Oryzias latipes: one gene and its partners. The protein of the gene in region 4 purifies or fractionates together with the protein of the main gene of each other region. This does not show direct contact. Links are inferred from orthologs where the notes say so. Each region holds a gene or a part of one and is shown on either strand. Other genes may lie near its edges.

Region 1 (3,500 bases), on a different chromosome or scaffold from region 4:
ACCATATAATCAACATTACATCCCTCAGTTATGATGAGGAAATTTACATCCGCGATTCCACATTTCCCATGAGTCTTAGGGGCTAAAGGCGGGGCCAATGCCCGGCTCGCCATACTGTTGTACGTGTTTAAGAATGAGTATCAGCAGTGCATGGAGGGGTGAACGGGTACAGCTCTCCTTCCGCTTGTGTCGCGCAGCGTTATGGGAGTAACAGGACTGGTTAAAAAACACACTAGTAAAATAAAGCAGCGACGACTGAAAAGCGCGCGCCTCAGCGCGATACGCGCGCCTCAGTGCGGCGCGTGCGTCAGAATTCAGAAGCCTCTGCGCTCCGCTCCCGCCCCGCGCGCTCCTTGTCTCCCCTTCCTATCTACTCCGACACCTCTGGCCAGGGCGGCTTCAAGGAGGAGCACTTCGTCCCCGTTGCGCCGGTGTAAGGAGCAAATAGTTTCTGTGCAAAGCAATCGGACTTAATACTGTACGTTTTGTGTATGAGGGGCGGATGCGTTGTTACGTGTGGGAGCCATCAGACTGCCATCGGCCCCGCAGCTCAATCAGCAGGAGAGTTTTTCAAAGCAAAATTCCGCTTTTACGGTTTCCTTAGAAACCGTAAATGGAGTGTAAATTCACTCCATGCGCTGTTCTCTCCGTCATGCAGCAAACCGGCTTTTCCAAACCCGTTGGTGACGGTGGACTTTTTTACGCTGCTTTTAACGATTGCTTTTAACTTGAAAGCTTCATCATAATGTAGCGGCGATCACGTGCACGTTGGGTCTAATGGCCCCAAAGGATTCTGGGATGCGGCCGGGCATGCGTGTTTCGTTTTGTTGAACCATGACTGAAGTGTCTAAGACCTGAAGTCAAGTCCATGCTGTTTGGCTGCTAAGAGGTGTGTTGAATATAAATGCCTTGTGCTAGAATTCAAACTATTCACTGAGTTCGAAAGTACGTACATGGCGGCCGCCAATTAAATCCATAAATTAGCCGCGTCACTGAATAAGCCGCAAGGCTGTAAGCGCAGGAAAAAAGTAGCGGCTTATAGTCCGGAAATTACGGTATATCGTCATCGCAATATTAATCACCAATATCGCGAGTTTTCCTCATATGGTGCAGCCCTAATTTTTCCTATTCAGGTAGAAAATTCCCAAACTAGAAAGTAGCTTCACTCACCTGGCTTCAGAGTCTGAGTGTAGCCCAGACCCACGAGGCTGGAATTGTTCACCTTGGCCTGAGAAAGAACAGAGTTTAGCAACGTTAGAGCGGCTGAACGGGCTTTTATAGACACTTCAGTCTCACAGCCAGAGAGTCCTGGTTTGAATCCCAACTGGGTCCTTTCTATGTGAAGTTAGCATGTTCTCCTCGTGGGGGGGGAGTGTTTCTGGCTTAATGGCTTCCTCCCACAGTTCAAAAGCATTCTTTGTATGTTAATTGGTGCTTAGCTGTGAATGCGAGTGTGTAGTTGTTTGACTCTTTGTGGACTATGGACTGGCAAACTGTCCAGGGTGCAACACAACTGTAAATAAAGTAATAGGGATAGGCTCCAGCATCCCCATGACCCAAAACAGGAGGTAGGAGGTGTAGAAGATGGATGACTGCATTCATGAACAATTGAATACATTTTACTTACAAGTCAAGTAGGTTTAAAGTTAAGTGGGTCAAACAGAGATAAAAAAACTAAACATTTTTCCCTCTTCCTCTACTGACTTTCTGCTCAAACTTTTCAGAATAAAAAAAAAACAAAAAAAACAAAAATCCATCCATCCATCTTCTTCTGCTCATCCAGGACCGGGTCACGGGGGCAGCTGTCTAAGCCAGGGGTGTCAAACTCATTTTGGTTCGGGGGCCACATTCAACCTCTCTGATCTCAAGTGGGCCAGACCAGCAACATAAAAGCAAAATAACAGTTTTGTTTTTTTTTGTCATTTGGAAAAAATGCCTCAACCAACATGGTAGTCTATTATTTATTAATACACATTCATTCACAGAGGCCAAAAGGTCAATAGCTTTTAGGGAACAAGACTTCTGCAGCCTCCAGCATTTTTCTATAAGTTCACTATCTGAAAATGGTTTGGATGTTTGCTCCAACTTGTCTGCAATCAGGTGTCTGTCACTGCTCCATCACTGACGTCACGCTGCAGTAAATGCAGACGGTTGGTCTTCAGTCCAGCTAATAGTTGGTAAATCTTCTCTTTTCTTAACTGCAAATGGTGAAAATTTTCTTTATGGTGAGTCTCATATGTGCTGAATGTTGTATTCTTTGAGCCCTGTGACCTGTTGATGACGTAACAAGCAGGCAGGTTTTGCATTCGGCTCCATGAACAAATAATTCCTGGAAAGCTCAGCACTCCACTTCAACCTTTCTTTCTTTTTGACAACATTTTGGTCATTATTGTGTCACTACTGATCATTCTCATAGCAATGTAACAGCGGTGAGAATCTAAGAGAACCAAAATACATCTTACCCACACCCAAAGTTGTTAGGATTCACTTTTGAGAAATGCTGTTTCACCTGCTTTGCTTTTGCTTTTCTCCCCCTAGTGGCGGAATTGCGCACTTCGGTTATTTCTTTAAAAAATCATAAATGGGCAAAGGAATGGACTAGAATTTTAAGAATTTTTTTGTTTTTGTTTTTAAAACATCCTAAATTCTTTTACTTTTCATGACTGGGCCAGATTGAACCATCTAGTATATGTTTGACACCCCTGGTCTAAGCAAAGATGCCCAGACTTTACATTTGTCCGTGGAGAGGGAAGATGAAAACGTTATTAAAAAATACATTTAAATACAATTTTTTTTGTGCAACAATTGTTTATATGCAATGCATTGTGGTCTGTATATTTGCAAATCTAGTTAGCATCGATTCACACTGGTTTTCCGCAGAGACTTTCTAGGGCACTCGATTTTGGAACTGTAGATTCGTAAAAGCACCACAAAATGGTGAACAACCAAATAGAGCACTATGTAGTGAGTAGTGAAGGAATTCAGACATACTCAGTTACAAGACTTTTGGGTAAACAGGTTCAGATTATAAACAACCAATCAGAGTAATTAGCTCTGAGGGGGATTTAACCGAGGCTCAAGTTGGAGATAATTCAGTTGAAGCCCGTCTGTTCCAGACAGACTCTTCCTTTTGAACCTTTTGGCAGAAGTTCCCCTGCATTCCTATCTTGAAGACCTAACATACCATGCCAAGTTGGTCAGCAGAGGCAGTAGAGTGTGTAACTAAGACAACAACATTGTGAAGACCCCCATAGAAAAGGCTACTCACAGAAAAAGATGCGTCTGGATCAATCTGATACTTGGCAGCAATGCCAAAGCGAGTGTTGCTGTTTCCAGCTGTCCAGGACAGGTTGACGGCTGTCTCCAGCTGCTCGTTCACCTTCTGGTAGATGGATCCACCAAACTCTGTGCCATCATTTCTGAGGAGACATAGAAATATGTTGAACAGTGAGAAGGAAAAGGCATTTTTCCCTGTGGGGAACACTAGATGCTATAAACGA
Region 2 (3,328 bases), on a different chromosome or scaffold from region 4:
TTATGGGAAGAAGAGAATCTTCTGACAGAAATTTTTATAATCCACAGAAATGTACATATTTTTACACAACTGATGACATGCACCTGCTTCCTAATTACACAGGGGGGTGTCACTCACCTGAAGCAAAACTGAGTTTTCCTGTTGCAGCAGAAAATAGAAAAGAAAGCATGAAGACAACCTGACTCCAACAGAAGGTCATGGGAGATTTATCACCAATCTGCACAGTCACGCTAATTTAAATAAGAGCTGCAGTTAAAGAAAAGAAGAACAGCGGTGCAGCAGGGAGCTCGGCTCCTAACAGTAACCTGTGCTCAGGTGTGGAACCTACAGGAGTCACAGAAACTTCAAACATTTGCTTTCAGCTTGCAGGCAGATTAAAGATTACCTCAATAGGGTCCTTAAATTCCTCATCTGGCTCTGCCTCCTCTGCTTCCTCCACACTGCCTGGAGTTAGGTCCTGTTAACACATGAAGAAAGACAACCTTTAAAGATTATAGGGTCACACAAAGGCGCAAAAATGTGTCTTCAGGAGGAAAACCTTCTCCACTTAAAGAAATAAAAAAGGTGATTTGTCAGTGACATGTGGGTCTCACTAACACAGAGCATGCTGTTTTCACAGTGGGGAGCAGGACAGTTTTTAATCTTAGGTTACTGTAAAGACACAGCAAATGATTCTGTGGAGCAATTTAAACAGCCAGCAAAAAGTTGAAAAAATCTGATCTTCAGCGATAATTTTTGCTAACCAATCAGGAACTCCGTTTTGGTGGTGCTGTGTTGAAAAAAAAAACTTGTTTTCATGGAGGAGAAGCTCAAAGTTGCCGTTTGTGCTCCTCCTGAACTTCACAATGCTTTTTTTTTTTAAAGTTTGTATTAAAACCAGAACAAATGGTCCCCTCATTTTCTTTTTTTTGTCATCCCATGGGCTACAGAGAGACAGAGGTTCGCTGAAAGCAGCATCATCCAGATCACCCCCCCCCCCCCCACACACACACACAAAATCCCCCAACGGCCATGTCGCAAATGAATACAATTACAACGCAGTATTCTTCTCACAATCTTATATATTGCTCAGTAATAAACGAGACTGCAGACACTTTGTCACCTTTCCGGTAGACATGAAGCCTTACACCCATGAAGAACGCGGGGCAGGAGGCTTCGACTTTGTTATACAGACACGTAACGTTGCGCTGCACAAAATAGTTCCCAAACAAAACATGTAGTGATATTCATGCACTCTAACAGTGCAAGTTCATGTTTGGTGTTACAGAGTGAAGGAGAAAAGTAATAACCCCCCCCAACACCAAATCCTCTGGCGGGCGGCACTCAAGAACGCACGCAGCTTGTAATGGAAATGAATACAATGGAAATGAATAATTAGAACGCAGCAAATTTGTCGTATTTCCTCGCGAGACAGAAACTCTTGTTGTAGAATGAGGATGTGTGTGTGCTGCTGAAACTGCGTGTGTGTGTGTGTGAGTAGAGGGAGCGTGCAGCGCAGAGGCAGTGACAGCTGCGCGCAGCCCAAGAGGTGAGAGACGCGGTGCAGAGAGAACAAGTCTGAACACAGGCCTAGCAGAAAAAGTAAATTATCAGCAAAAATGAATGTGTTTTATGTGTTTATCATTGTTCCAATCACGCACCATATGCAGAACTTAAAAAAAAAAAACTTAAAAAAAAAAGTGCAGTGATGTGGTTATGGTCACACCCCTAGTTAAAACGCAGGTTTAGCAATAAAAGCTCAGTCAATTTTTAATGCTACAGATTTCTGTCTGACTGCAGCAGACAAAAACACAACAAACTCAACTATTCATTCATTCATTCATCTTCTAAACCTGTTTTGGCCCTTTCAGGGTCACTGGGCTGCCAGAGAACTTCCCAGCCACCCATGGGCGAAGGCAGGGGACACCCTGGACAGGTCGCCAGTCGGTCGCTGGGCCACAATCACACACCCATTTACTCTCACACTCACACCTATGGACAATTTAGAGTAACTAGAGTAACCTATGAAGCATGTTTTTGGACAGTGGGAGGAAGCCGGAGTCTGTGGAAAAAACCCACGCATGCATGAGGGGAACATGCAAACTCCACACAGAAAGGTTCCCCATTGATGTTCTGTTTCTGTGTTTCTGGGGCGTTTTTGCTGTGAGGCAAGAGCGCTAACCACTATGCCAACGTCCAGCCTCAAAGAAAACAATTCCAGAATCAAACAGATATCACAAGTACAGCCTACCTCCAGACTGGTTGGTGTGGGGGTTCTTTCCATCAGACTACCCAACTCCCGATCTTCGCACACACCTTCTGAGGATGAGTTCTGACCCCGCAGGAAAAGCCTACGGAGGTCCAATAAAACTGGAAGAAGAAAGCACGGGACAAAATGAGCGCTGGTGCTACTGAGAGCTGCTCTTCAGCATTCTTAAGGCTGAGACGACTGACCTCTGCAAAAGTCTCTGTTCCACAGGAAGGAGGCACTGGTGAGCGCAGCCAACACCCAGCCCACGGGGGCCACGTACAGCAGACATACCAGCATCAACAATGCACCGTAGAACCTAAAGAGTTCCAGCAAAAGTCAAAACGCTTCCAACTCTTACTGGAGCTCCTTATGTTGCAGATACAAACATGTTTTGGTAGTATTATAACAGATGTTCCAGTACTTTCAACGTTTTCTCTTCCCTCTAGTCTCATAGCAGAGTGTGTGTATGTGTGTGTACCTTGATGAGGTGGAGTAATCGTCCCAGTACAGAAGCTTGTAAACCGATTCTGCAGACTGACATGCTGATGACAACGAGTCGTCCAGGTGCTTCAACCTAAACCAGAGATCACATGTACAGTTAGGGACTGAAAGACTGGCAGAAACTAGCAGTATGTGCCCAGATGTTAATATGCACAGCTGGCTGCAGTGGTTTTTCATGCTGGTATAACCATGTCACAGATTGATCTGGTCAGAATAAAACCAGAATCCAGGTGTACGCGTTCAGGAACCAGCTCTCCTCTTACAGCTCTTTGACCTCCATCATGGCCTCCTGCTTGGTCATCTGCACCGTCTGCAAGTCTCTGCTCTGCACAGCATAAATGCGCCTCCTTTGGAGCTCATCCTCTGGCCGTTTGTTGCCACACCTGTCCTGCAGGTAACCCAGAGCAGCCGGAAGCAATACCCCCATCATACTCAAGGTGAACCAACCCGCTGAGGGCAGAAACACAGACAAAGGTGGCGAGGTTACACTGCTTCTTTACAGAACAGCTACAAAGTGGTAAGTCTCCTCTTACCTTCAGACACAGTGCAAAAGAAAACATTAAGAAAAATCCAAACGGACAGAGAGCAAAGCGGCAT
Region 3 (3,500 bases), on a different chromosome or scaffold from region 4:
AACAAATGACAAAGTTGGATTTAACACAATTTAAATTTAGCAACTGTGAGGTCAAATTCAGAGAACTTTAGTGATTTTCTGTTTTGAGACAAAGCAGGTCTTACCTTTTGAGTGGAAGATGGAGCAGTGTTGTGAGCAGAGGGTTTGCTCTCAGGCAGTGGGATACTATCAACCAGCTCCAGAACATTTCGAAGTTTAATATCAGAAATTCTGAGGGACAGCAGAGGAAGTTCTCCAAGTACTTTATATCTACAAAAAAAAAAAAAGTGGCAAAAGATGATTCATCATGGCATGAGAAGACTAATATATGATAAAAGTTTCTCTCTGCAAAATAATAGTAGTGACTTACATTTTTAATGACTAAAAATAACTTTAATAACAAAATATCTGCTTAGCCTATTTAGAAACATCCGATTACAAAGCTTGTTCTACAGGGAGTGTTAAAAATATTAAACATTGTGGAAAAGTGATCTGAGATTAGGTTATGGCTTTGGGTCAAATTGCTCCCAATTAGGTACAAAGAAACAACAGGTAACATGCTCTGTGTCTTACATACTTAACAGTGTTGTGCTCTAAAAAGCTATATATAGCGTGATTTTTAATAGTACTTGCATGAGTTCTTTAATGCTAAATTAAATACCTATTTTTTTAACCAGTATAAATGAAAACTGACTTTGGCATGCGGGAATCTTTGACAACCATCGCTCTGCTGAAATCCACATTCACGTCGACGGGCTCCAGGATGTGGAGCGGTGATTGCTTTTGTTTACGAGCCTTTTTCCAGTCCCCACCTATGGATAACAGTTTCATTATCCTAAGGATAAACTTTTCATAAAGACAAATTCAAAATATTTTTGGATTATACATCTGAGATGACATATTAAGATCTCTTTTCAGCAGGCTAAAGAAGTTCCTTGAATGAAAAAAAAAAATTCCCACTCTACGAAAAAAAGTCCAATTCCATCAATAAGGTCTCAGGCGACTCCACCTGGATCACCAAAAACCTTCAAGTTTTCTCCATCAGCCATCTTTGCTGATGGAGAAAATTATTTTGAAAACAAATTTAGAAAAAGAGAATTTATTTTTTTAGCATCTCATTTACATTTGAGCTCCTCTATTTTAGTACTACTAAAGATAAGAACAGCCATGTCTGCTCATGATTTATTTCAGCTCATTTTTTCAAGATGACGACTTATTTCTTGGTAGAAAACTGAAAAAAAGTCATTTTTCATTTGGGATGGCTGCAAGTTGTTAATTTTTCTTTTCAATGACTGGGAAATTGAAAAGTTGTTTGTGAGCAACATTACCACAATTTCTGCCTGAGCTTCACCACAACTTAAGTGATCAATGATGTTAAAGTACAATGCCTGTAACCATAGATGAAAGATCCGTTCACGAATGTATGTCGGTGTTTAGTCTTTAACTTTAAGTTTAGCTCCTTTTTCCCAGTTGTGGAAAGCAAGCGAGCATAAAAGAGCCGAGTTCAGGGCATCAGATCTCATGTGTCCTTTTTATAAAAAGTTTATGTGGGTGGCATGTCTACAGTTGAAGAAGCGGAGATACCTTCTGCGAGAGAATTCACATGTAAATTTGTCAATTTGAGATGTTTGCCATTTGGGTTAGGGAAAAGTGTATTCCATTTTCAGAAGAAAATGCGGTATTAAGTGGTTATATTAAGAAAATGAGCTTATAAAATATATTAACATACATGACTGTTCTCATCTTACGTATTGCTCACCTGGTTTGCTGTACAGGAATTGGAGGGAGCTGAGCTGCACATCAAAGGTGTCGTATGCTCTGGACATGATCGCTTCAATGTTACTGGGACATGGGGTCAGCTGTGGCAAATTCTCTTTGCTCTGACTGGCCATCTGAAGAGGTGGAAACAAATGCAGAAATATTAAAACATCACTCAGTATATAAAAAGTAATTCTTGTTCCAACTGGATGCGATTTATTGAACTTCAAGCTTTCGAACCTTAAAATGACCAAGATCCAACAGCAAAATGTTCTGTGTTCCATCGTAAAAGCCACTCTGTGGAACGATGACGTAGGAGGCCATGAGGTTTACCTTCAGGTCGAGAACTTTCTGTGTTTCAATCACATACAGTAAACCTGCAGAACAAAATAAGAATTAATTGTTTTTACCTGCAGGAGGAAACATATAACATGAACTAAAAAGTAAACCCATATACACCTGCTTTGAATTCTAAAGATGTACATGTTGGGACATAGTTAGCTTTCTTTTAATTTGGTTTGATCAATATTAGGTTTAACAATCTCAGTAAACATAACCAAAAAAGGTAAAAATTTGTTTCTTCCTATTACTCTTTTTTTCTCTTGTAGTTTGCCTCAAATTTAGAAACAGAGTGTTGGCTTTAATCTACCACAGATCCAAAATGGGATAGAAAAGGTGTAGATGGTGGAAGGATTGAAAGCCAATATAATGAACATTAGATCGGATAAAAGTTGTAGATTCCACTCACCTGTGGCTGTGCGATCTTTAAATTGCTCCAGTTTCATTAGTGTTGCCTTGGTAAACTCATTAAGCTGCACGTCATCTGGAAGTCTGAAGAATTCTGACACACTGTTTACAGTTAACTGCACAAACCAACAAAGTTTTCATTTAGATCCCTATGAGGGATTCATTTACACACATTTAGCAATGGAGGATACCACTTACAGCATCATAGATGATTTCCAGTGGCTGAGATGAGACATGAAATCTCTGGTCAGCACTTTCATCCAGTGGATTGGTTTCAAACAGAATGATGAGAAGAGGTGTCCCTGTTTTTGTGGCTGCCCTCCTTGATGAAAGGAGCGTTGGTGCAGGCCTGTTACTGGCCAGACCAGTGACTTCAAACAAACTAAGCTCAGCTGTTATCCTACAAGGACATGAAGGAGAAATCTGTAAGTGTCAATGCCAGATAAGGGCACATAAAGTAGCCATTGGTCATTTCTATACCATGTAAAGTCAACTCAGATACTCTGTGTCTGCAGCAGAATCATCATCATTCCAAAAGAAAACGGTCAAACAGAGATTAAACTAACTTGATGGCTTGTGCTCCAGGTCTTTGAGTGAGTGTAGACTTGAGCTCCCCGACAGTCAGCCTCATGACCTCATTTTTGTCTTTCTCATCTTTAATGGATACACACAGTCTTTCCATGTGGAAATTGACCTTCATGTCCTCAAACTAAAAATCATTTACATTAGAGAATTATCAATGTAAAGTCCATTAACTTCAAGAAGCTTTTATATTTTGTTTAAAAAAATTTCATTTACTGCTAGTTGACCAGAAGACACCTACTTTCTTAGGCAAATTAGGATTAGCAGCAGTTTCACTGTAGCCAATGGCAGTGTAGAGTTTGGCTTTCTCTGCAGGAGTCAAGAGCCCATCAAAACCTGAGAGATAAAAGTGACACAGAAGTAAAACAAAACTGTTAAATGCTGCAATTAAAAACATGGAACTTTTTCTGGAAAAGAACATCGCCGATATTATA
Region 4 (3,500 bases):
GGTCTCATGATTGATGTTTTGCTGCACTCTTAAACATCAGAGAGGCCGTTCAGCTTTCAGTTATGCAGGTCAGTCCTGCCTGAACCGCACGGCGATCAGAAACTGGGCATTAAACGATTTCATGTTTCTTCTTTTCTGCCTAAACTCAGGACAAATTGTTTAAACTCGAGCCGTTTTTCCTCATTTGGCGGTTTGTTCTGTAAAGTGGCAACAAACTGTGTGAGTCTGTCCACCAGAGGGCAGCAAAGGCTGCACCAACCTCTCCATGATGCACAGTTGTTATCATGTGCTAGCAATTCATGAAGTCTGTGTTCAGAACAAAGGTCAGACTGGTTCTGAATAATGTCTGCATCCAAATGGACCATTATAAAGTTCTGTGTTTGGAAAAGTACTTTTAAGAGATTGAGTTAATTTGCTTTATTGACCAAGTACAGCGCATATACAAGGAATTTGGTGTCTTATGCTCTCATAAGGCGAGGCTGAATAAGTGTAGAATGATAAAATAACAAAAATGTAAAGAAAAAAAAAGACAAATATAAGGATGAAATGTGTTTATTACACATTTCTTAACTTGATTCTGTTACAAAAGTACACTGGTTCTTTTTTTTTTAGTGGCAAACTCATCATGTGGTGTGTATCAGTAAGGGAGTGTGCATGTGTGTGTGTGTGTGTGTCTGTGTGCAGATGGGATCCAGCTGCTAGCAGTTTGATTTGATGAATAACATTCTCATTTTTCATTTTCACCAGTGGAAAGAATCTAAACCTGATGACCTCATGGATTCCAAGCTGAGATGCGTCTTTGAGCTGCCTTCTGAAAATGACAAACTGGTGGTAAGACGCTCTGTGGCTCGTTAAATTAGCATATTATTTATAAGTGGAAGCTTCTGTCTTTGCATTTAGGGCATCGAACGTTTGCAGAGGAAACGGGACGTTTCACTCAAAGTGAAGCACAAAGGGGAAAAACTGACCAAAGCATTTCCGTTTGTAATAGAAATGTGAGGAAAATGTACTACAAACAGATCTAATGATGGGTATTTTATAAAGAAGACTACACTTATTATGTATTGGGTTGCTCTAGAACAGTGTTTTTCAACCTTTTCTGAGCCACGGCACACTTTAACCTTAAAAAAAATCCCGCGGCACACCAGCATCAAAAAATTAAAAAAAAAGGAGAAACTCATAGTCTGTATTGATCTACAGCCCCTCCACAGTCTCACATGCATTTTTGAGATAATTGTTGCAGAAAAAGCTGGAAACTGCAGCTGTTTTTTTCTAAAAGATGCAATAAAAGATAAGTTAGAAGATTTAAAAACAGTTTGATGTGTGTTCGTTAGTTTCAAGACGTTTAACAACAGATCTCCGTATGCGCTGTCACTCTCACAACCCAATGCATCATGGGAGATGTAGTGCATAAAACGGCCGGAGATCGCGTCTCTGAGCTTCATTGTTTTGTTCACTTGTTCCAGTCTGATACCGGATTCTGTGGAAAGCTACACCGCTAAAGACGAGCTTTAGCTGGTATTTTTTTTTTAGAACTGAGCGACTTTACGAGCTAAACCGGGAAAGGAAGTGAAGATTTTAACCACTTCTGATTGGTCAGACTGATGACATGTGATTAAGCCTTCAAGAATGATTGGTGGAGACAGTTAAAGGGACGGGACGTTTCCAAAATACAGCCGAAGGTGCAGCTGAATCGCGGTACTGTATCGTCATTCTTATCAAAATGTCTTTAATAAAATAAAATAAACGCAAAGAAAAAGTATTTTACGATCTTTCATATTCCTAACTCCTCAGTGTTTTATCAGGGCCTGTTTGGATGAACACAGAGCTGAAATCCTGGAGATGGAAAATGTTTTTAGATCAGTTAATGAGGGCAATTTCCCACGGCACACTAGTGTGCCGCGGCACACTGGTTGAAAAACACTGCTCTAGAAAGAGGTTTGTCCTGGTATTATCAGTGATAGACAGCGGCTGTTGAGGTCGGGGGGCCAAGTAAACCCGTCCTGAGGATGGAGGGGGTCACTGTTGGAGCAGACCTTCATCATTTTAAAGCTCAAACCTCAGAATGTCGGATCACTCTGAGACGACCGTGTGTTGTGGGTTTCCACGCCATCAGACAGTCATTCGCTTTGTTGCTACATTTTCTGAACCGCAGTGTCTTTGAGCTCTGCAACGGCTTCTTAGAGCAGGTCTGCGGGGATTGGGTGTGAGTGGCGGCTGCTTTCAGCAGGACTCCGTAACCTGTTGTCCCGCCACGGCTGCAGGACAAAGATGCCGCTGCGTCTGTCCCCTGTGAGGGGGGGGGGTTATAGCAGCAGGGGTCATGGTGAAAGAATTTCAAGTTTTAAAGTCAGACACGACTTGCTTGTTTTGCCTTTTTCTTCTTCTGTGTGTTTTTTTTTCTTCCAAGATACAATGGACCATAATGCATTATGTTTTCCATATAGGGGTATCTTAAGTTCAGACATGTTACCGTTTTAGTCCTCAATCAGTAATTCTTTTGAAGTTAGTCTGTATGTTTTATTAAACAAATCTGATCTAAAACAAATTAGCTGTAAGCTTTCATTTTATTTTGTCCAGTTTAAAAAAAACCTTTTTACTACACATGCCCGCTGTGTACGCAGCATTCATTACTGCCAAAAGGGGGGTTTGAACCGCTCCTAGTCAGATTCGTCACCCAGAACCCGTCTGCCATGATGGGACACCCCCCCAGCATCACTCCAGCTCTCCGTTATGGCGCCGACATCACAGCTTCAGTCGAGTTTGATCTCTCATAAGAAGACGTTTTGTTTCCACACGCCGCCTGTCCGGCCAAAGAACGCCACAGCTGGATAAACCCATGAGCAAGGCAGCCTCCTGAGGTAACTTTCTGTACTTTGTCTGGCAGAATGCGGTGGATTCGGTCCCGGTGAAGGCCGAGCCGACCGTGGAGGATTCGGAGCTGAAGAAGATGCAGGAGAAGTGCAGGAGGCTTCAAGCAGAGATCAGCAAGCTGAACGAGGAGAACCGACAAATAAAGGTTGGAACTGAGAGCCGCGCGTTGGCAGAGGGAATTGAACGTGCCGTCATGCGTGTGAAACTGAACGACTTTCGTTTCCTTGCAGGAAGACGGAGTTAGGATGAGAAAAATGCCTCCCCCAGACCACATGATGTCAAACTCAACCGCCTTCCTGCCCTCCCTCCTCGTCGTCATAGCAGCAATTTTCATCGGTTTTTTCTTAGGGAAGTTCATCTTGTAGACCGGGACATGCATGTTGGGCGTCCCCCTCCCCCCTCCCCGCCCTCTCTGCAGCTCCAGATCACACAACAACAAAAAAAGAAGAGCTGGACCAGGTCCTTCTGTTGACTTTGCCATATCATCGGTAGTGTGGCCTCCAGTGAACACGTGTGTACAGCATCATTTGAAGGCCTGGCCTTTTTACAATCACACAGTTTAGTGCGCACAGAGTTAAGACGGGTGACAAAAATCAACCCCCCCAGTTTTTTTCCCCCCCTCCAGT
Region 5 (4,046 bases), on a different chromosome or scaffold from region 4:
ATGCAGCCAGAAAACCAGCCTAAGTCCAACAGGTACCTCTGTGTAAAAGCGAACATAACCAGAAGTGAAGCCGACTACAACACAGGTCCAGTCCGGCCGCCCAGTGGAGCTTCTACACACAACAACAACAAGGTAAGTACACACAAATACACACTTTTTATGTCAACAGTCGACATATTTGCTCTGACCTCTTCTGGCTTGCCAGCGGAATTGCTATTGCACTGCTCACACACTCTCTGGAGAGAAAAACCCGTTTTAACTTCATCAGCATCTTTATTTATAAAGCACTTTAACACAAATGCCACTGTACAATAAAAGATAAACACGATAAAATTGTTAAAAACTAGTTTAATAAACTAATGAATACAAACATAAAGATAAAAGAAAACTTGAGATGTAAAATAACTGGGACTGCATCATTTTGCACGCCCAATATTTCTGTTTTTCATTTCATATCCAATAAATTTCTGCTGCAGGTAGGAACACAAAGTGAATAATAATTAGAGAATGTGGTTAAGGAGGGAGATTAAGTAATGACAAATAATAATTTAGAAAACCCTTAATGCCTTTTAAAGATATCAACTCTGTAGAACAAGAGGACAACAGGCATAAGTTTAATCTCTTTTTAAGTTAAAATAATGTAAAAATCTCTTTACCTCCTTAATCGTAGCTTTGCTTATTTTGTAAATACAGTGAGATTAGAACAGGACTACAGTACATAACAGAGTCCATCAGTCAAAGAGCCGCTTCAACTGAGAGCCAAACTAAAGCTTGGGTTGGTCTTTGACATGATGGAGAAGCTAAACTACTAAGAACATAAACAATCGGACCCCTCCTCAGTGCTGAGCGTTCCACTCCAAGAAAGCCCCAGGGTCATCTCCTCTCTGCCACTCTCATCTGTACGCCACTTGGCTGCAAAGACAAACACAGAGACACCTTTCAAATAAAAACTACTGCTAAGAGTCAGGCAGACTGTGTGTAAGGTCTGACCCGAGAGGAAAACCGCCTTCTGTTCCCGGGCCACCACCAGCAGGTCAGAGCAGGGAGAGAGGGAAACGATGCAGTCATGGAGCCAGGGTCCACTTGGTGCTGCACAGTCCTGCAGAGCAGAGACAAGCTTCACCTCTGTGCGTCACCATAGCAAATCCTAAAACATTAATAATAGAATAAAGCAAAAGGCCAGACCTGTGTGGAAGAAGCACCTTCCTGCACTTTATTATTCTCAGTGTCCCATGCTGATTCCCAATCTGAGGTGTCCCAGGAAAGTTCATTATCTGGAGAAGATTCCAACAAACGTCAGGAAGAGGATGTCTACATAGAGCTTAGAGGTTTTGTCTGTTTATTTCTCTGTCATAAACAGAAGGGAAAGATACTACTGACATAAACAGAAAGGAAGTGACTTAAGCTGTGTCCGAATTCCCATCCTAACCCCTAACTACTAAAAACTATTTAGTGTGGGACTATCTAATGCTCTGAATTTTAGTGAAGTGAAAGTCTAATTTATTTGAACGTTTTGTGACGATTATTTATGAATCCACTGAGTTCTGGAGATAAAAACGTTGATGGTTTATTTGAAAAATACAATTTTTGAAAGCAAAAATAGTTCAGACACAACGCATTGTGGTCTATATTCGCCAATCTAGTGAGCATCAATGCACACTGGTTTTCCGCAGAGACTTCTGGGAAATTTCTAGGGCACTGAATTTTGGAATTGTAGATTCGGACAGCACTACAAAACAGCGAACGCACTATATAGTGAAGGCATTCAGACACAACCTTAGTGTTGAGTGTTCTGGGGCGGCAGTGGCTTAGGTGGTTGAGGAGGTCAGACGGAGATGGAAGGGTCAGTGGTTTAAACCCCGTCCCCCTCAGTTAACTGCCACTGTGTCCTTGGGCAAGACCCTTCACCCTCCCTGGTGTGTGAATGTGCATGCATGAATGTCCAGGTGATGGTCAGAGGGGCCGTAAGCGCAAACTGGCAGCCACACCCCCGTCAGTCTGCCCCAGGGCAGCTGTGGCTACATCAGTAGTTACCATCACACAGTATGAATGAATGTCCGAGAGGAAAACCAGTCCAGTGGTACAGTTCCCAAATGCCACGCGATGCTGCAGAGAGACGTGTCAGCCAAGACACTCCCAGCATCCAGACACTTGAGGTACTCAGGGAGGACTTCGTCCACTCTCAGAGCCTTGCCACTGAGTCAGTGACTTCAGCTAACTAAATACATAAACACAATGTAATGAAAAACTACTAGTTATGATCGTTCATGGTCCAGATATGACATCCAAGCTGCATCTCTCACAATAACTTTACTGGGAAACCGGAAACATGAATGTGAGGAGTCTGTTTCACAAAAAAATGCCCGTCATCATCATGGCCACATTATATGTAACCTGCCGGCTAGAAATGTGCGGCGGGAGGCAAACACTTCACCTGCTTGGTTCCGCTCCTCCGCCGCATCGGGTTTCTGACCCTGGAACAAAAAGTCCCGAACGGTTCTGAGCTCTTGGAGCCGACCAAACTCCAGCAAGCTGCAAGACATCCCTGCCGCCCGGCCGATCCCGTCGGGAATCCAGCAGACGAGGGGTCGGACAGTTAGCCTTAGTTCCTGCTAAAGGCGCGGCAGAAGACTTCCGGTCACGTCCGGCGGCGCGTGAACTTTGTGATTCCCGACGACAAACGTCCAAGTCCCGTCGAGCAGCTCCTTCAGCGACCAGGACAGGGGTTTACTCTCGCCTGTTGTGTTGATGACACATCGTTAGCATCGGAACACTGCTGCTGTTGTGTTTCCGGGTCAGGGATCCATTTGGAATTTCAAAATAAAAGCATCGCAGGAGCCTCTTGTTTTTATCAGCAAAAAAAGCTGAGTTAAACTTTTTTCATTTGAAATCAGATGTGATCGTAATTCTTCTACACTTAATATGTTCCAGTGGTGTTTTTCTCTCAGCTGAGGTCGCTCCATCAACACTTTGGAGTTTGCTGCATGCAAAGCTTTTTGACATTAAAATGCGTTCAAATGTTTTATTTCCCTTCAATTCTTCACAGAAGGATCCAGATCCATGATAAATAATTAATGCAGAGCCTTCAGCTCTGATCTGCTTGCTCAGCTGTCGGACAGGACAAGTTTAAATGAAGGACGCAAATACATTACTATGCAATAAAATCAAAAAAGAAAAAAATCATCAGAGATTGTAAAATGTTTGCAGATATACACTTTACCAAAAGTCGTACACCTGAAGTTTATTTGACTAAGTACACAGTGATTGAATATAGTAAGTAGACTACAGTACTTGCATCTGGTATGTAGGAAGTATACTAACGAAATATTTCTAAATTGGAACATTTTTATTTTCCATAATTTAAAAAGTAAACTTCAAGAATACTGCCTAACTTTAAGTACAGACTAAGTTTACTCTGTAGTACACTTACATAGACAATCTCCTCCTGATCATTTAATGGCTTTGAGCCTTTTTTTTTTCCTCTTCTGGGTCTCGATTGTTCAAGCAGAAGTCCTTCCACTACCCTACATAGAAACATTATTCACAGAAGTCCTCGCGTTTTTAGCAACATTTCTGCATATATTTAAAAACTAGATGTAGTTTGTACTACTGGAACCCATCATAGTATAAAAAAACACATTTACAAAGGTGCAAACGTGAGCTGACACCTGTGCTCAGGTGAGTGTTTTTGTTCTACGGTGGTGGATGATGGAATGCTAAAAGAGTGGAGCACCCGGCTACCCCCACACCAAGACCCCTACTGCAGAAACAGTGGCAGCCAGGGCTCACCAGACACATAGCAGATCCAGATCCAGTAAACCACCCTCGACCAGGGGGGTCCCCACAGGGGCCACAGGACCGCCACAGGGGTCCCCAACGCCAAAGAGCAGGGGGGCACGGAGAATGCAAGCTCCAGCCCAGCCAGAAGAATAGCCCTCTCTGCACATCAGTGGACCCAGCATTGGACTCCACACACTGGAGAGCCCCCTCCCCCCAGCCCCAGACAAGCACCCCACCACCACCTGGAAGTTCTGAGCATCCCCCCA
Region 6 (3,500 bases), on a different chromosome or scaffold from region 4:
TTTCTGACAGAAAATGTTAAAATGCCTTTTTTTTCCCTTTTCCTTAAGTGCTCTGACATGAGGGTGCTGATAGCTTAAGATTTAAGGAAATAGCCCTACCATGTGCTTCTATAGCAATGATAAAACAAAGTCATCTCCGTGCCTTAACTAAAACTAAAACTTAATTGAAATAAAAAACATTTGCCCTAAAAATGACCGGCAGTAAACGTTTTAGCTTTCCCTGAAAGTGACATTTTGACATACTTGCAGTGGCTGCAGTGGGCGATGAAATGCTGTGGCCCACGATAGAGACAGGCAACGCCTTTCTGACTGGTTGAAGAAGCGACGAGGACACCACGGTGGTCACCATGGATACGCTTGTATGAAGAGCCTCCTTTTCACAGGACATCACTTCGTTCCCATCCTCCTCCGAGTTATCCGAATGTAAGGGGTTGGTGAAACTTATGGCAGTCCTAACAGGGGTGGACGAAGAAGAGGAGGAAGAGGAAGAGGAGAGGTGGGAGGAGGAGGACGAAGAGGGAGCAACTCGGTCTGAAGAGGAAGAGGAAGAAGAGGTTTTAGGGAATAGTTTCTCGGGGCTGTTGCAGGGCTCCGTCCACGACGCGTGTCCGGTTTTCACGTCCGCTCTGCTGCATTCGCGCGGCTCCACCTTATCTCCGCTCTTCACAGGGAGGTGGTTTGGCCTGGGTAAAGCGCTTCCCTCGGTGTGACTCTCCAAACATCCAAGCGCTCCTCCTTCTGTGCCCGAATCCTCCGACAGGGAGGAGCTCGACGTCAGTAGGGACTGAGTGGAGCGAGACTTGAAGGCCTGGCCTCTTTGCAGCATGCAGCCGCTGCTGCAGGAGCTGGCTCCCTGTCCGCCTGCTCCTCCGACAGAAGAAGACGTGTCAAAGCTCCGAGGTCCTTCCTGCAGCGGCACCTTTTTAATCTCAATGCTGAGCTTCCTCTCGATCCGAGGAATGCCGGGACATTCAATGACCGGGGAGAGGGGTGAGGACGGCGCCTGAGTCTGGCTTTGACCAAATTCTGGCTTTGTAGACGTGGAGGAGAACTTGTTGTTGTAGTTGTCATTGAGGTCTACATTTGAGACCTGAGTTTGTTGGTTTCGGCTTAATACATCTTTCTGCTCTGAGGGACTGGTCTGTTTGACTGGGTCAGATTTGTTCTGAAGCCCATCTTTGTCTTTATTCTGCAAAAAAAAACATTAAAAAATAATAAAAAAAACAGTTTTTGCAACCATAAAAGAACACTTGTGCTAGAGCCATGGATTGTTACTTTATGGCGATCTGATTTGATTCAAGGATCTATAATTCACAAATCCAACCATGGTTCTTACTTTTTAATCTTTCTGTCTGAATAGTTGCTATATGTACAGTAGAAACCAGAAGTTTACATACACCACATATAAACACACATATCCTTTTTTTTTCTCACCATCAGACATGAAATCAAAGTAAACATTTCCTGTTTTGGGTCAGTTACAATTAACAAAATTATTTCCATTTGCTGAATTTCAGAATTATGGCACTAGGGTTTTTTTTCAGACAAGTTTTAATTACTTTTATCAAAGTTTACATTCATTTATTAAGTATTTGGTAATATTGCCTTTAAACTGCAGTGTTTGGGTCAAATGTCTTGGATTTCTTTCCACAAGATTCGGTAGAAATTTTTGGCCCTTTCCTCCTGACAGAACTGGTGTGACTGTAGGTCGCCTTGGATGTACACGCCTTTTCAGCTCTGATCATAAATGTTTAATAGGAATAAGATCCGGGCTCTGTGATGGCCAGGCCAAAACATTGACTTTGTTATCCTTCAGCCACTTTGTAACCATTTTGGCGGTATGTTTCGGGTCGTTGTCCATAGGGAAGATCCGTTTGCGGCCCAGCTTCAACTTTCCGGCTCATGTCTTCAGATGCTGCTTCAATATTTCCACATCTATTTTGGGAAGTGCACCAGTCTATCCAGCAGCAACACAAACCCACAACATGATGCTACCACCCCCATGTTTCACACTTGGGATGGTGTTCTGAGGCCTGCAAGCTTCTCTCTTTTTCCTCCAAACATAGCGATGGTCATTGTGGCCAAACAGTCCAATTTTAGTTTCGTCAGACCACAGGACGTGTCTCCAAAAATGAAAGTCTTTATTTGCTTTTCTGTGTTTTTTTTGAGTAATGGCTTCTTCCCGGCAGAGTAGCCTGTCACCCCGTGTCTGTACAGTACTCATTTCACTGTTTATAATGAAACATTCATACCATCTTCAGCCAGAATCTTCACAACATCATTTGCCTTCGTCCTTGTGTTGTTTGGATAGTTCAACAATCTCTGACATCGCAAATAATCCTACTTGTACTTTCCGGAACAGATCATGAATATCTGAGTATTCAGATATTTGTTATAACCCCAAATTGAGCTAATCTTTGACATTTTTGACTGCTATTTTGCAAATGATCCCATAAACAGGCACAATTTGTGACGTAAAATGTAGATTATATGGTAACAAAGATTTCCAAAAATATACATCTTATTAACATAACTTTTATGTATCATTTATAACCAGGTAATTATTATTTTCTAAATTCTAACGCAAAAAGCATCTAAAGTCGTTGCTTAAACTTGAGTAAAACATTAAAACTTACTTGAAATCCCCCAGAAACCCCCAATTCTTTAAAAGAAGTGCTTGGTTTTGTGCGAGGATAATAATTAATATTAGCCTAATGCTAATTTATGATTCCATGAAGATATTTTCAGCAAAGTTTCTCTTATACCTGTTGGAGATTTGCAGCATTTGCAACCTTCATATTATTTGCACTTTATGATGCAAGAGCAGCAAAGTCTCTGCAGACCATTGAAATAAATCCTCAGATTCTGGTTTTAGTTCAACCAAAGTGTTAACATATTAAATGATAAAAGGTCGAACTTCAAAAATCCACCTCACCTGTGTGACGTTGGACTGTAGGACATGCATGACCGGTTTAGGGTGGTAGCGATCATTGTCCTGACGTACGTTGGTGACCGTGGGGAAAGCTGACGGAGGAGACGGGGTGAGGATCGGGGGGACTGGGTGAGGCTCAGGAGGCTGGAGGATCTCTTCTTTTACATCGCCCTCAACCTGGAAACTAAACAAAAAGATTGAAAAATTTGATCAGGAAACAGGAGAATTAAGCTGAAATGAGGATTTTTTTTATGAGAAAAGTTCACGCTCACGTTGAAACAGAGAGACGTTACACAACAAGACAATAGTTTCTAGTAAAGTAAATATCTCAAGTTTGCAACCAATAATCTGAGAAAGGTTGGTCCAAGTAAATAAACGAAATGGAGCTTTATCATAGAAATATGATGTATGTCTATATTTCACATTAAAACATTATATATAAAATATGATTTAAACAAACAATTGTTCCAATATTTTTAGGTTTTCCTTCACACAGACTGATGCAAAAATTGTGTTTCAATTTTACACGTTTGTTGTCACTGTAACAAAAACGCAAAAACATATTTAC
Region 7 (3,500 bases), on a different chromosome or scaffold from region 4:
ATTCTCACAAAAATGCATGTGAGATTGTGGAGGGACTGTACATCAATACAGACTAAATTTCTCCTTTCTTTAATTTTTGGATGCTGGTGTGTCGTGGGATTTTTGTCAAGGACAAAGTGTGCCTTGGCTCAAAAAAGGTTGAAAAACACTGACCTAGGACATCCCTGTTAATAAGTACTAATAATAAAAAAAGAAAGAAAAAGATTTCTGACTTGTGTTGATGTTTCATCAACTTACCGTCTCTTTGAAGCTGTCGGAGAGCCAGCGGTTCCTCAGTACAGCCACGACAGAGGAGGGAGGGCTCTCGAGGTCTTCGAATGCATCCATTAAGATGAAATCTAACACTATGTCGAAAAAGTTCATGCACACCACCTGCAGAGAACACAGGAGCATCTCAGTTTTATCAGACTTAAAGATCCACTCTGATCATCTTTTCATCTATTTTAAAAGCGTGTTCTTTTAATTAAGATTTTGCCGATTTTAGAATTATTATTTTTTTAAACTGTTATTTTCTAGGACCTAAAATGACACATGGATCCATGTGTCTGCAAATGGATGCATCAAAATGGAGTGGAGCTGGAAGCCTGTCTCCGTCACAAATACTTTCTTTTTTTCCCCCCTGATTCACAACAATTTGAATTTAGAAATACTCAGAAATGCAATTTTGAGCTTAATTTCCTTAATATATGTCCTCCAACATCTGGAAAATGCCACAAAAACATGCTTAAAAGACAAAAACACAATTTTTAATCAGAGTGGGTCTTTAAAATATCAAAAATTTCTGACATTTGCTGCCTTTCAAGCAGGTTTTTATCATTAAACACAACACTGGTTTGATAATCGGCCTCTCAATGTGTTGCAGACAGTTGGTTAAACTCGTTATCTTTCAAACTAAACTAAATACAGTCGGTTTCAGTCACTCCCACACTAACATTTTCACCCGATTCTACTGTAAACAAGTGAAGTAACTGAGGCTCCAGCAAAGTAAAGGATCTTATTAAAGATTATTCAACAATGAAGAGCATCGTTTCTGCACGACAGCATACATTTGAGTGTGTGAGAGTGGAACTCCAAAAGCCAGACCTTTGCCCATCATTTGTATAAATGTCACCGTTTGAGCAGCACGTCTTTTCAGGTCAGAGAAGATGAAACCGAATTTCCCAACGATTCCAGATGTTACTTCCTTTGTTAAAGGTCAGTAAAGAAAGCATCGGACTTGAACAGAACTCACCCCTCGACCGTCCAGTTCCATCTTTGTAACGGGCCACGTTTCCTCCCTCTGAGTGTAAAGCAGCATGTCTTCATAGCTTTCCAGAAAAGCTTTGGGGCTCTGATTAAGAATAAACATATAAATTAGTTCATGCTTAAAGAGCATGCCCCTCTATCTAAATAAAGTAAAAACTGCACATCCCCATTCCCTCGACTTACCTTGTTTGCCTTTACCATTAACCCGACAATCATCTGTTTCCCCAACTCCATGAAAAATGTGCGGTGACTTTCGTCTAACAATAGAACCTAAAAAGAAAGAAAAAGCAATTTGTTTTATTTATTCTGTTTTAAAAATAGTTGAATGTTTGGAGATGAACCAGACTGAGGCGGTTTGGACATGTCTACAGGTTAGAGCCGGCCCAAAGAGCAGATGCATGGATGTAATGAGGGAGGACATAAATATAGATTACCTCAGAGAAAAGGATGCAAAAGACAGGATTAAATGTAGCTAAGAAACAATAACTTTCATTATACTGAATGACAGCATGTTAAAAGGTCGCCTTTCTTGGAGCTTTTTTGCCTGAGCACAAAGCTGCAAACTGAGATTTGAATCAGCAAACTCTTAAGTTCTGCCAAACAACCATCTGTTTTTGGCCTTAAGAGAAAAGCTGTTAACATTTACGTTACTGTGAAGGAGAAAAAAGAAAGCATCACGATAAAGATTAGTAAAAATAAAAAAATTCCTTGTACGGTAATTTGGGTTTCAAACCTTCTGCAAATCACTCACACACATTTAAAGAGATGTTTTTTCTTTTTACACAAAGAACAGACCTGGAATGCTTGTCTCACACAGTGGAGCTTGGCGAGGAAGTCTTGGTCACCGTAACATTCAAGCAATTCAGTTCTGTAAAAGAGAAAAAGAGTTTGAGAGACTAAACCTAATCAAGAAAAAAATATAAGAACATATTTGACCCCTTAGAGGCAGTGGCCTCAAATTTGAAAAAAAAAATACATTATTAAAATCAAACACACTATATAAGCACATGAAATTCAGCTACTTTAAGCACCAAAACTGCAATCAGTATCATAATCACCTCATGGATCTAAAGGGGACTTTGCCTTCGCGGACCAGAGTTAAGGCTTCTTCATAAAGAGCTGCCGGCCTTATTGGCTGGTAGAGCTCCTCTAGAGTCATTTTATCAAAGATCTGCATAGAAAAACATTGATTTTAGAGGAGTGCAGCAGACTTCAATATCCAGCAGTGCAAATATACAGAATGGCAAGTCTTGGTGTACCATTACTATTTTCTGACCATCTTAAGAGCAAATAAATCACCTCTGCCGCTGAGAAAAAGGAGTCATCAGAGCTAATGGTGGTGGCGTCGTCATCTTGCAGTCTGTACAAACTCTCCACTTGAGGCAGGATAAGAGTTCCTTCACTCGCTAAGAAAAAACACAGCTGTGTCTGAATTCCTTCCCTACTCACTAAATGCTGCATTATAGTGCGTTCGCCATTTAGTAGTGATGATCTACAATTCCCTAATCGAGTAGCCTAGAAATTTCCCAGAGGTCTGTGCATTGATCCTCACTAGATCCGCAAATATAGACCACAATGCATTGCGTTTGAACAATTTCTGCCAAAAAATAAATAATTTAAATGTATTTTTTTTAATAAAATATAAACGTTATCATCTTTAGAACCCAGTGGATTCATAAATGACCGTCGCAAAACGCTCACACCAATCAGAGTTTAACTTCATAAAATCAATCACGTCATATTCGCCGTTTAAAGAAAAAAAAAAAAAAGTAGTGAGCATGGTATCCAAATTGCTTTCAAAATCCAGGGCACTACATAGTTTTTTAGTAGTTAGGAGTTAGGGTGGGAATTTGGACACAGCTTTTGTGATCCTCGAATGAGACAACAGTCGTTGACTTTATCAATAATATTAACTTTTTTGTTTGAGTTATTTTTAATAAGGTAAAAAAAAAGACAATCTTCTACAATCGCATTTTCAAATTGAGTCTCACCGAAGTCTGCCAGCACACTGTCTGCAGGGAGGCCGCTGCCGAAATCCTCCTGTAGGTGGTACGCCCTATGCAGCAGCGACTCCAGCTTCTCAGCTAACACTTTATCATGCGTTTCCCCCTAAAACCAGAAAAAAAAAAAAACCTGTTCTGTAGAAATTTTAGGCAAAACAACAATCTTTAAGGTACACAATTCAGCGTTGGGCAACTAAAATTCAAATAGAATTGAATATTCACAAGAAAATGAAGGACTTATGTTCATTCTAC

Evidence for each region.
Region 1: the proteins of vapa (region 4) and vdac1 fractionate together in Homo sapiens (co-fractionation; 3 studies listed by BioGRID and IntAct, with this or other methods). This does not show direct contact. The link is inferred for Oryzias latipes from reciprocal best matches to the Homo sapiens genes VAPA and VDAC1.
Region 2: the proteins of vapa (region 4) and zfyve27 purify together in Homo sapiens (co-immunoprecipitation; 3 studies listed by BioGRID and IntAct, counting the BioPlex papers as one, with this or other methods). This does not show direct contact. The link is inferred for Oryzias latipes from reciprocal best matches to the Homo sapiens genes VAPA and ZFYVE27.
Region 3: the proteins of vapa (region 4) and vps13a purify together in Homo sapiens (co-immunoprecipitation; 3 studies listed by BioGRID and IntAct, counting the BioPlex papers as one, with this or other methods). This does not show direct contact. The link is inferred for Oryzias latipes from reciprocal best matches to the Homo sapiens genes VAPA and VPS13A.
Region 5: the proteins of vapa (region 4) and rab3gap2 purify together in Homo sapiens (affinity purification with mass spectrometry; 3 studies listed by BioGRID and IntAct, with this or other methods). This does not show direct contact. The link is inferred for Oryzias latipes from reciprocal best matches to the Homo sapiens genes VAPA and RAB3GAP2.
Region 6: the proteins of vapa (region 4) and tyrosine-protein phosphatase non-receptor type 12 purify together in Homo sapiens (affinity purification with mass spectrometry; 3 studies listed by BioGRID and IntAct, counting the BioPlex papers as one, with this or other methods). This does not show direct contact. The link is inferred for Oryzias latipes from reciprocal best matches to the Homo sapiens genes VAPA and PTPN12.
Region 7: the proteins of vapa (region 4) and miga2 purify together in Homo sapiens (co-immunoprecipitation; 3 studies listed by BioGRID and IntAct, counting the BioPlex papers as one, with this or other methods). This does not show direct contact. The link is inferred for Oryzias latipes from reciprocal best matches to the Homo sapiens genes VAPA and MIGA2.

The regions. Positions count from the first base shown.
Region 1 is NC_019872.2:4,165,968-4,169,467, reverse strand, and holds part of vdac1 (voltage-dependent anion-selective channel protein 1), read right to left. Parts: intron 3,420-3,500; coding exon 3,269-3,419; intron 1,229-3,268; coding exon 1,171-1,228; intron 1-1,170. UniProt on the Homo sapiens protein: Non-selective voltage-gated ion channel that mediates the transport of anions and cations through the mitochondrion outer membrane and plasma membrane.
Region 2 is NC_019859.2:28,350,273-28,353,600, forward strand, and holds part of zfyve27 (protrudin), read right to left. Parts: coding exon 3,265-3,328; intron 3,182-3,264; coding exon 2,995-3,181; intron 2,805-2,994; coding exon 2,709-2,804; intron 2,547-2,708; coding exon 2,434-2,546; intron 2,350-2,433; coding exon 2,231-2,349; intron 458-2,230; coding exon 386-457; intron 139-385; coding exon 118-138; intron 1-117. UniProt on the Homo sapiens protein: Key regulator of RAB11-dependent vesicular trafficking during neurite extension through polarized membrane transport. Promotes axonal elongation and contributes to the establishment of neuronal cell polarity.
Region 3 is NC_019867.2:11,849,652-11,853,151, forward strand, and holds part of vps13a (vacuolar protein sorting-associated protein 13A), read right to left. Parts: intron 3,403-3,500; coding exon 3,308-3,402; intron 3,194-3,307; coding exon 3,051-3,193; intron 2,885-3,050; coding exon 2,683-2,884; intron 2,601-2,682; coding exon 2,486-2,600; intron 2,115-2,485; coding exon 1,978-2,114; intron 1,872-1,977; coding exon 1,739-1,871; intron 792-1,738; coding exon 674-791; intron 250-673; coding exon 105-249; intron 1-104. UniProt on the Homo sapiens protein: Mediates the transfer of lipids between membranes at organelle contact sites. Binds phospholipids. Required for the formation or stabilization of ER-mitochondria contact sites which enable transfer of lipids between the ER and mitochondria.
Region 4 is NC_019875.2:4,839,524-4,843,023, forward strand, and holds part of vapa (vesicle-associated membrane protein-associated protein A), read left to right. Parts: intron 1-747; coding exon 748-831; intron 832-2,887; coding exon 2,888-3,019; intron 3,020-3,104; coding exon 3,105-3,239; 3' UTR 3,240-3,500. UniProt on the Homo sapiens protein: Endoplasmic reticulum (ER)-anchored protein that mediates the formation of contact sites between the ER and endosomes via interaction with FFAT motif-containing proteins such as STARD3 or WDR44.
Region 5 is NC_019880.2:20,252,583-20,256,628, reverse strand, and holds the start of rab3gap2 (rab3 GTPase-activating protein non-catalytic subunit), read right to left. Parts: upstream 2,801-4,046; 5' UTR 2,544-2,800; coding exon 2,435-2,543; intron 1,275-2,434; coding exon 1,186-1,274; intron 1,100-1,185; coding exon 991-1,099; intron 913-990; coding exon 831-912; intron 237-830; coding exon 189-236; intron 113-188; coding exon 37-112; intron 1-36. UniProt on the Homo sapiens protein: Regulatory subunit of the Rab3 GTPase-activating (Rab3GAP) complex composed of RAB3GAP1 and RAB3GAP2, which has GTPase-activating protein (GAP) activity towards various Rab3 subfamily members (RAB3A, RAB3B, RAB3C and RAB3D), RAB5A and RAB43, and guanine nucleotide exchange factor (GEF) activity towards RAB18.
Region 6 is NC_019881.2:13,867,876-13,871,375, reverse strand, and holds part of tyrosine-protein phosphatase non-receptor type 12, read right to left. Parts: intron 3,117-3,500; coding exon 2,936-3,116; intron 1,190-2,935; coding exon 244-1,189; intron 1-243. UniProt on the Homo sapiens protein: Dephosphorylates a range of proteins, and thereby regulates cellular signaling cascades. Dephosphorylates cellular tyrosine kinases, such as ERBB2 and PTK2B/PYK2, and thereby regulates signaling via ERBB2 and PTK2B/PYK2.
Region 7 is NC_019870.2:7,796,342-7,799,841, reverse strand, and holds part of miga2 (mitoguardin 2), read right to left. Parts: intron 3,355-3,500; coding exon 3,237-3,354; intron 2,652-3,236; coding exon 2,545-2,651; intron 2,417-2,544; coding exon 2,304-2,416; intron 2,114-2,303; coding exon 2,041-2,113; intron 1,516-2,040; coding exon 1,429-1,515; intron 1,331-1,428; coding exon 1,232-1,330; intron 373-1,231; coding exon 238-372; intron 1-237. UniProt on the Homo sapiens protein: Regulator of mitochondrial fusion: acts by forming homo- and heterodimers at the mitochondrial outer membrane and facilitating the formation of PLD6/MitoPLD dimers. May act by regulating phospholipid metabolism via PLD6/MitoPLD.